2 linked regions of the Rattus norvegicus genome follow. The protein of the gene in region 1 purifies or fractionates together with the protein of each later gene. This does not show direct contact. Links are inferred from orthologs where the notes say so. Each region holds a gene or a part of one and is shown in the gene's direction. Other genes may lie near its edges.

Region 1 (4,019 bases):
AACTTCCTTTGAGGTGCCCACATTTTAGAATAGCCACACTTCCCTCCTTCTGCACTTTTCCCAGTCTGCAGCTTTGCCTTTTGATTTAGCATCATTGAACAGTGATCGCCATCCGATGATACTCTGAAACACTACTCATGTTTGCTTTGGCTTTTTATTATGAGAACTCCATAATGACAGAACATCTAGGACTTAAGCTCAGTGCTGATTAAATGACTCATGTGAGGTGCTGTGGAAGAAATCCATTTAGATGGCCTATCTCTTAGCCTAAGAACTTATAAATAGAATATGGATTTCCTTGTCTGTAGGTCACAAAGTTACCTTAAGGAAAGTAGCCTGCTGAATCAGTGAGATGTCACTGTCTCCCTTGAGTGTCCTGTTTGTGTTTCTGTATGGCATTGGTTTGCAGGCCTACTTATTTAACACAGTCTTCTCTCTAAAGTAGAGAAAAATCTACTTACCTATCAATGTATCTATCACTCACTTATCTATGTGTTATTTATCTTTTTGGTACTTAATATAGTTTGGGCAGAAAGATCAGAGAGAGAGGGCAGTAAATATTGAATACTATATTGATAAATGTGCTTTTCTTAACATTCATCTCTGAAATAAATATTGCTAAGTCCTAATTTATAGAAGCAGACGAGGTTTGGATAAGTAATTTGATCTAGTCATAATCACTTAGTAAGCAAATGTCAGGGTTTAAGAGCAGATAATTAAATCCAAGTCCAGATTACATTCCATGATAGTGCACATACCACATATAGTTTTGTGTGTATAGACATGCACTGGGAACCAGTTAAGGAGAATGTTTTAGAGGGAACAGACAGGTCATCTTTCCTCAAGGGACTATAGGTGGAGAAGCAAAAATGTTTAAGTATCTGGAATATAATTGTTCTACATGAATAGGAATAAAAATTGAGACATTATTTTGCTAGGGAAGTCAGAAAGCCAGTCCTGTTGAAACATCTGATAGGTCCATTTGTTAATTGATTCTGTTTAAATACCCAAATGCCTGCTTTTTATTAGGCTGGAGTTAGTTAGAGGATTCAGGGAAGAGTAATGTGTGCTGTCTCAGTAGACCCTGTAAATAATCAAAAAATAATTATGAATTTTTAATGATAAAAATCTGACAAATACACATCTTCTAGAAAAGGGAGTGTAACCTGGGAATACTTTCTTCTTTACCTTGGTAGTATAGAGTTTCTCCTTTCTTAATAACATCTCTCCTTTGCTTTTGTAACAATTACTTTCACACTTCCTTTTTCAGCGTGAGTAAAGCAGTGTTTTGTACAGAGCTAGACGTACCATAAATTCTCAGCAAATATTTGTTAAACAAACAAATGGATAGGAAATAGAATGTCTCTAAAAGCTGAGGTTTGAATGCTAATATCTGCTGCTCGTGGCCATGTCATTCTCACATGTTGATTTATTATTAAATAAGGTGGGTGTCACTGTTTTATATAGACAAGGAAACTGAAGCACAGAGAAATGAAGTAAACTGGTAGAAGTCATTCAGATAGTAATGAAGCTGAGAATTAAACCTGGGCCATCAGGTTTCCAAGTTTGTTTTAAATTATTGTACCCTTCTGCCTCTTGATGAATAAGAGTAGTTAGTTCATGGTAAGAGCTCAACAGTTCAAGAGGGAATAACTCCATAGAAAGCAATGTCAAGTGTTGCAAAGTGTCAGGTACACACAAGATTCATCTCAGAAAAAACAGAGTCGATACTCTGGGTGAGGAAGGTTTCCATCTAATGATAAAATCTCCAAATTTTTACTGAGCATCGTCTAGCCATTTTGGAGTGATTTCAGTGCTAAGGCTATCACTAACCCTTCTTGTAAAGTGAGAGCAAAGGAAGGTTGTTTTACCCAGGACAAATGGGCTGTGGCTCAGAAGAGGACTAATGCAGATTTTGACATATAAGAGAAAGGGTAACTGGGGAAGGGGGAAGGTTCCTGGGATGTTCTAACTAGAACATTCAGAAGAGGTTCCACTATGCTAACAAAGGCTGCTTTGCCAAAATTTCCACTGATTATGCAGGTATATACACGGTCTGTGATTGAACCACTTCCTGTTACTCCAACTCGGGATGTGGCTACATCTCCTATTTCTCCTACTGAGAATAACACCACTCCGCCAGATGCTTTGACCCGGAATACTGAAAAGCAGAAGAAGAAGCCTAAAATGTCTGATGAGGAGATCTTAGAGAAATTACGTAAGCACTTTATAGCTTTCTTGAATCTTCACTCCGTCTGTGACTGATTAATCATTGAAATGGAATGCTGCAATAAAGATCTGGCTCCTAGGTTTTAGCCATGTGCCTGGCTGGCTCTGTAACTCCTGACCTATAGGCTGTAAGGCTTGCTCATCATCTGAACTTTCACCCTGTCTGTGTTCACCAGCTCTGGGTGTGTATATTGTAGGATAGAGACAATAGAGAATGTGGGCAGCTCACGTTGAGTGTTACGGACATAACCAATAGCTGTTATTTTGTGAGTAGTCTAGAGTATTGTATGGAGAAAGATCGAGGTATCGACTCTTCCTGGTGGAAAGGGTGCTCTTGTTGATGCTTGCTATTGACCTAGGAGAGGACAATTCTGCCATCATAGTTATAGAAAAAGAAGGAAGGGGGGAAACCAATGTTTTATGAGCCTGTTCTGTGTGGAAATGACAAGCAAGATAGTTTCTTGACTTTTTAAATTGTATTGAAGTTACTCTGAGAAGATACTCAGGATAATCTTCATTTATGCAGTTAAGGTTTTTAAGACCCAAAGATTCTATACCCTGCTCCAGATCATAGAGCTGCAAAGGTCAGATCAAGATGTGTTATAAATAGAACATATCACCTATTATAGTACGTGTAGGTTGATTTTTATTTTCTATTTTATTTATTTATTTTTTTGTGGCCTGGGAAATCATTGAAAAAGGATTTGATGTACTGGTTTGATCAAGTTTGTATGCTCACGTTGCTTTCTAAAGCAGAGCTTTGTGGTCTAGTTTGGCAGCTTCCTGTTCTTTTTAATAATTCTTGTTTAACCCTTTTGTTTGTTCAGTTTATTGTCTTAAGAATTGCCCTTGCTAGGGCCCTCACAATGAGGTAAAAGCCACTCCTCGGCATCTGTGTAATCATGTGTACTCCTGATCCCTAAATAATAATATAAGGCATTATACAAAGCAGTCTGGCCTGGACAACTTCCTGCTGTCCTTCGAGTCTCCTTTCCTCTTCACATCTTTTAAATAGTGATACTTACACTTGATTTGTTTTAAATCAAAAGATATAATACCATATGTGAGAAGCACCAAATCCTAGTGGTTGGGGTATCAGTGGAAAAGCTACTGGGCTGAGAGATTAAGAACCAGCCTTGGCACCAGTTAATGTATGAGTTTGGAGAAGTATCTTCCCTCTGTGGGTTTCAGTTCCCTGCCCTAGAATCCCACTGTGAGACCCGTGGGCTCTCTCATACTTCTGCGTTTTTTATTTAAAGTGCCCCCTGCTACAGAGTTCTCTTGGCTTTCTTAACCTGGCTAACTTATACTTAAAATCAAAATCAGTCCAGGCAGCGCCTTTCTGAAGCTGTTCAGTCTCTGTCTGTGCCTTTTGCCATTCCCTATCCCTTCAGCACTGACCACAGCAATCCTGTATTTTTGCAGCACCTTCCATTTGCTCCTCTTTTCCTTAGATTGAGCTTTTGAGAGTAGTGACTGTCTTAAATGTGCCTCATCTTTTTCTCTTTACTTGTAGCACTCAGCATACAGTCTGGTATGCAACAAATGAATAAATGTTAATGAGTTAATTTAAAAATTAATAGCTCCTAGGAGTTTGGAAAAGGAGTAAATTACTATTTAAAAAACAGTATATATAAAACTTTCGGTTGGGATTTATTGGAGGAAAGTTAATTGTCTGGCTGGTATGCTTTTGGGAATTGGATACAGTTCTTTAAAATTTGCCAACTTAGGGAGTTAAGAGGATCATGGGAACTCTTGTGTATCTTGAGGTTCTACTATGCTAACATGGT
Region 2 (4,019 bases), on another chromosome or scaffold:
GTTAGGCTTGAGTTTCTCATGAGCCTGTGAGGTGGAAAAAGTAGGTTATTCTGGAAGGAGGAGGGGGGTTGTCATGGCTTCCCCATTCAGTCTAGCTAGCTTTATGCTCTCATGAGGTCGTGTTATGTTGGAATATTTGACGTTTGCTTTGTCTGCCTGCTGTGCAAAAACAGAGACCCACTGCCAAACATTTCTTTCAGCTTCAAACTCTACAGAGTGAGAACTCAAGCCTCAGGAGACAGGCCACAGCCAGTGCCTGTCAGGTCCAGACTGCCTCTGACCACAAAGACACTGTGAGCCACTCCTCCCTGAAGCGCCGGCCATCAGCCCGGGGCAGTAGACCCATGTCCATGTATGAGACTGGATCAGGCCAGAAACCATACCTCCCAATGGGAGAAGCCAACCACCCTGAAGAAAGCCGGACAAGACTTCAGCCCTTCCCCACTCATGTAAGTAGCACCAGTGTATGTCCATTCTGCTGTGCAGTGTGACTGTTCTCCCTCTTCTGCCCCTGCAGATCTCTGGGCGCTGAGAGGGCCCCTGTGTGTGCTGAACGGATGTCTGCAGGTGCATCTGGTCACACAGGGCTTGAGACAACCTCTGTTGGCATTTTTTCTGTAATGCTTCCTTCCTAGGTTCTACAAACGAAAGCCAATTGTAAAGGTTACTAACAGAAATGTCTGTCTTCATAAAGGCAGAGGTTGGGGCTGGAGACGTGGCTCGGGGCTTAAGCACACTGGCTGCTCTTGCTGAGGACTTGGGTTAAGGTCCCAGCACCCACGAGGCACACAGCCCACTCCCAACCAGCTGTGACTCCAGCTTTAGGGGATTTGACATTTCCTCTGGCCTCCAGGGCTCTGCATGTACATGGCACACATACAAGCAGGCAGAACATCATCCATAAAATAATCTTTTGAAAAACAACCAGGTAGGCAGAGACATGCCCCCTGTATGAACTGGAACTCTTGGGCCCCAGGGTGCTCTTTTGGGCCTGTGACTGGATACATGGAGCTGAGACAGTCTTGGCTTCGGCATCCTGGTTACGGACCTCAGCATAGGCTAGTAGTATGGCTTGGTTATCTCCTAAAGATGCAGGGTAAGCAAGCATTAAACCAGCACACTCAGGAAGCTGAAGCAGGAGGATTGTCTGGACCACATCAGATCTTATCTCCAAAATATCATTAACAAACAAAGAAGGGAATGTGTAAATAACTGATGGTGGACGTCGCTCACAAGCATCATCCGCTCACAAGCCTCGGTTCCTAAGGCTGCTCTGTGGCAGGCTCTCGACGACACCGTGGTGCACATGGGGATGCCAGGTTTTCAAACATTGAACTCCTCTGTCTTCTGGACTGACTTACTGTGAAGATGTCTGTCTCCACAGCGTGCTCCAGGCATAAACTGCCCTTCATAGTTCTTCCTTCAGAGTGTGGTGTCACCCTTTGCAGTGTCAAACTGGTTTCTTGCAAGTACATAGAGCACTTGACTAAGAGTCTAGGGCACTGTGAAGTACATGCTAAGCTCTCAGGAAGTAACCAGTTCTGATTTTGCGAGACTTTAGCATGGTAAAACTGCAGCACTGTGTGCACCCAGGAGTCACAGCCTCTCTTTATTTGGGTTTAACGCTTGAAGACCAACCATTGACCTGGTCTATTGGCCACTGAACTGAGTGAAAAGGAACCTGACTTTTATATAACTGAACGTAAATGAAGGCGACCTCCCTGGCAGCGTAAGCAGTGTATGTGATCCTAGAGAAAGTGCGGCTGTGGTTGTGCTGCCCCGTCTGTCCTGAGGACTGGGGTGATCGTATGCCCCAATTCAGAGTCATCCATAGCACTATGTGGTGTTTCCTTCTCGACGGGAGAGCAAGCGTCATTGCAGGCATTAACAGTGTGTGCTGCCAGTTTGAAGCCATGCCAAGTGTAGCGAGACGGCTGTGGTATCTTTTCCTTAAGGACAAGTGGCCTCCTAAGTGCAAAGTGGTTTCCAGCAGGCTCTTGCCTCATTAGAGATTACTGTGCCAGGGCTGTCACTGAGCTCCTGCGTGTGTGCGTGGGACTGTGTGAGCTGTAGGGTGGGAAGTGGGGACGTGTTTGTTTTATGTTTTCCCAAGCTTGTTTCTTTCTCCACTTCCAGATTGGGAGGAGTGCACTTGTGACCTCCTCTTCGTCTCTGCCTTCCTTCCCCTCCACACTTTCCTGGTCCAGGGACGAAAGCACCCGAAGGGTTAAGTACACTCTGACCGGTTTGCCCTGGAGGAGGGGCAGTGCTCCTTGGTGCTTTGTGCTTGGGAGCTGGCCCTTGTGCCCCGGCCCTTGCTAACAGCCCCCTGTCCTGCATGAAGCAGCGCTTTGCTCCTGGTTTCTCACAGCAGCAGGCACGTGCAGCCATGCACCTCTGACCTGGAGAAAGCTGGCCGGCTTCCACACTGTGCGCCTCCACACTGTGTGCCTCCACACTGTGCGCCTCCACACTGTGTGCCTCCACACTGCCTCTTCTCACCTATTTAACCAGCTCACAGATCATGTAGAGCGCACGTTCTAAGCGCACTGTCTCCTTAAGCAAATGAAACTTTAGCTAGCTACTGGTCACATGTGATAGGGCAGTCCACCCAGTTATTAAATTTAAAGTGTATTTGGGTCAGCACAAAAGTGTCACGGCTTTTTTTTAACTGCTGACTTACTTTATGTTAGCGCCATCATATCAAACAAGTCCCGGCCAGGCTCAGTTGTCCTGGTGTGCTCACAGAACAGAGGGGAGATGGCTACAGGCTTACAGCTCTCCACTTGAAGTAGTAGGCCAGACCCTTCTGCTGGTGTGGGACTCACACTTCAGTGGCCTCCCTGGCACCCACCTTTAAGAAAGGCCGCTAAAGGGTATAAAAGACTTAAGTGACATGGTCCCTGTTCCCAAAGGGACATTGTGTAAAAAGAAAAATGTTTTCATGTGCACAGAGAGCAGGCTGGTTTCCTCCTGTGGAAGACTGGGAGGGCCTGAGAGTCGGAGGCTGACCCTTCATATTCCAACTCAGTCTGTCTGTAGCAAGGGTAAAAAGAAGGAAGGGACCTGCGAGCAAGAGACCACCTTCCCCAGCAAGCCTCCATGTAGCCGCCACCCCTCAGAGTGCTGAGGACCCCTGTCCACTGCTAGGGCCACTGGCTACCCAGGTCTCTTTGCTTGGTACTTACAGTGTTTTGAGTAGCCCTGTAAGAGCACTGTAGCCTTTTGTTACAATGCCAGTTAAAGAACAGCAGGGTAATAAGGGACCCCCCCATTTTGTCAGTAATTATGTTAATGAGAGTCAGGTAGGCCCAGGTGACTCACCATAAAATTTTGTAGTTTCTCTGATTTGTGGCGTTTTGGTAGCTTTGAGAGGGACCAGCCGCTGAAGTGGTTCTGTGCACACTGAGCAGTGACGTCATCCAGGACCATGTGCGCCTGGCAGCGCTGCCCTGGTCAGGTTTCTGTGGTTTGTCTGTGCAGAAAGATGGCATGTTGTTCAGTAACTGACCCCACGCCGGCTACAGGGAACCTGTCTGTTAACAGCTCGAGAGAGCAGCACTTGAGCTCTCCTGGCTCTGCATGCTCACTGTAACTCTCACAGACTTACATGCTGGCTGCACTGAACCCATATGCTTTGACGGAGGAGGACTTAGTCCGTAAGTAATTTTGCACTGCACTTGAAGAGCGTTTCCTGAACGCTATTAGTGGGTGTGTCTCCCTCTTCTGAGATTTTCAAACAGACATTGGCACTTCTGGTCACTCTGGTAATGTATTCAGTTTCTAATGTCATCTTGACATCAGGGAAAGCATCATCTGTTACAGACATACGAGATTCCGGGAGGCAAAAGGATTGCGAATTTAAGCAACAAGTCTCAAAACCCAAAGTATATGCTGTGGGGTATTAATACTGTCTTCTAGATTTCTCTCCCTATGGGAGCGGTTTCAATGTACTGTCCAACATAGTTAAAATTCAGTTTGTGTGTGTGCATGTATGCTTGAAAATTGTTTTTAAGTAA

What was found. The genes of interacting proteins can lie anywhere in the genome.
Region 2: the proteins of Pak1 (region 1) and Git2 purify together in Homo sapiens (affinity purification with mass spectrometry; 5 studies listed by BioGRID and IntAct, with this or other methods). This does not show direct contact. The link is inferred for Rattus norvegicus from reciprocal best matches to the Homo sapiens genes PAK1 and GIT2.

What each region holds. Positions count from the first base shown.
Region 1 is NC_086019.1:161,612,722-161,616,740, forward strand, and holds part of Pak1 (serine/threonine-protein kinase PAK 1), read left to right. Parts: intron 1-2,043; coding exon 2,044-2,218; intron 2,219-4,019. UniProt on the Homo sapiens protein: Protein kinase involved in intracellular signaling pathways downstream of integrins and receptor-type kinases that plays an important role in cytoskeleton dynamics, in cell adhesion, migration, proliferation, apoptosis, mitosis, and in vesicle-mediated transport processes.
Region 2 is NC_086030.1:47,521,283-47,525,301, forward strand, and holds part of Git2 (ARF GTPase-activating protein GIT2), read left to right. Parts: intron 1-200; coding exon 201-449; intron 450-2,136; coding exon 2,137-2,226; intron 2,227-4,019. UniProt on the Homo sapiens protein: GTPase-activating protein for ADP ribosylation factor family members, including ARF1.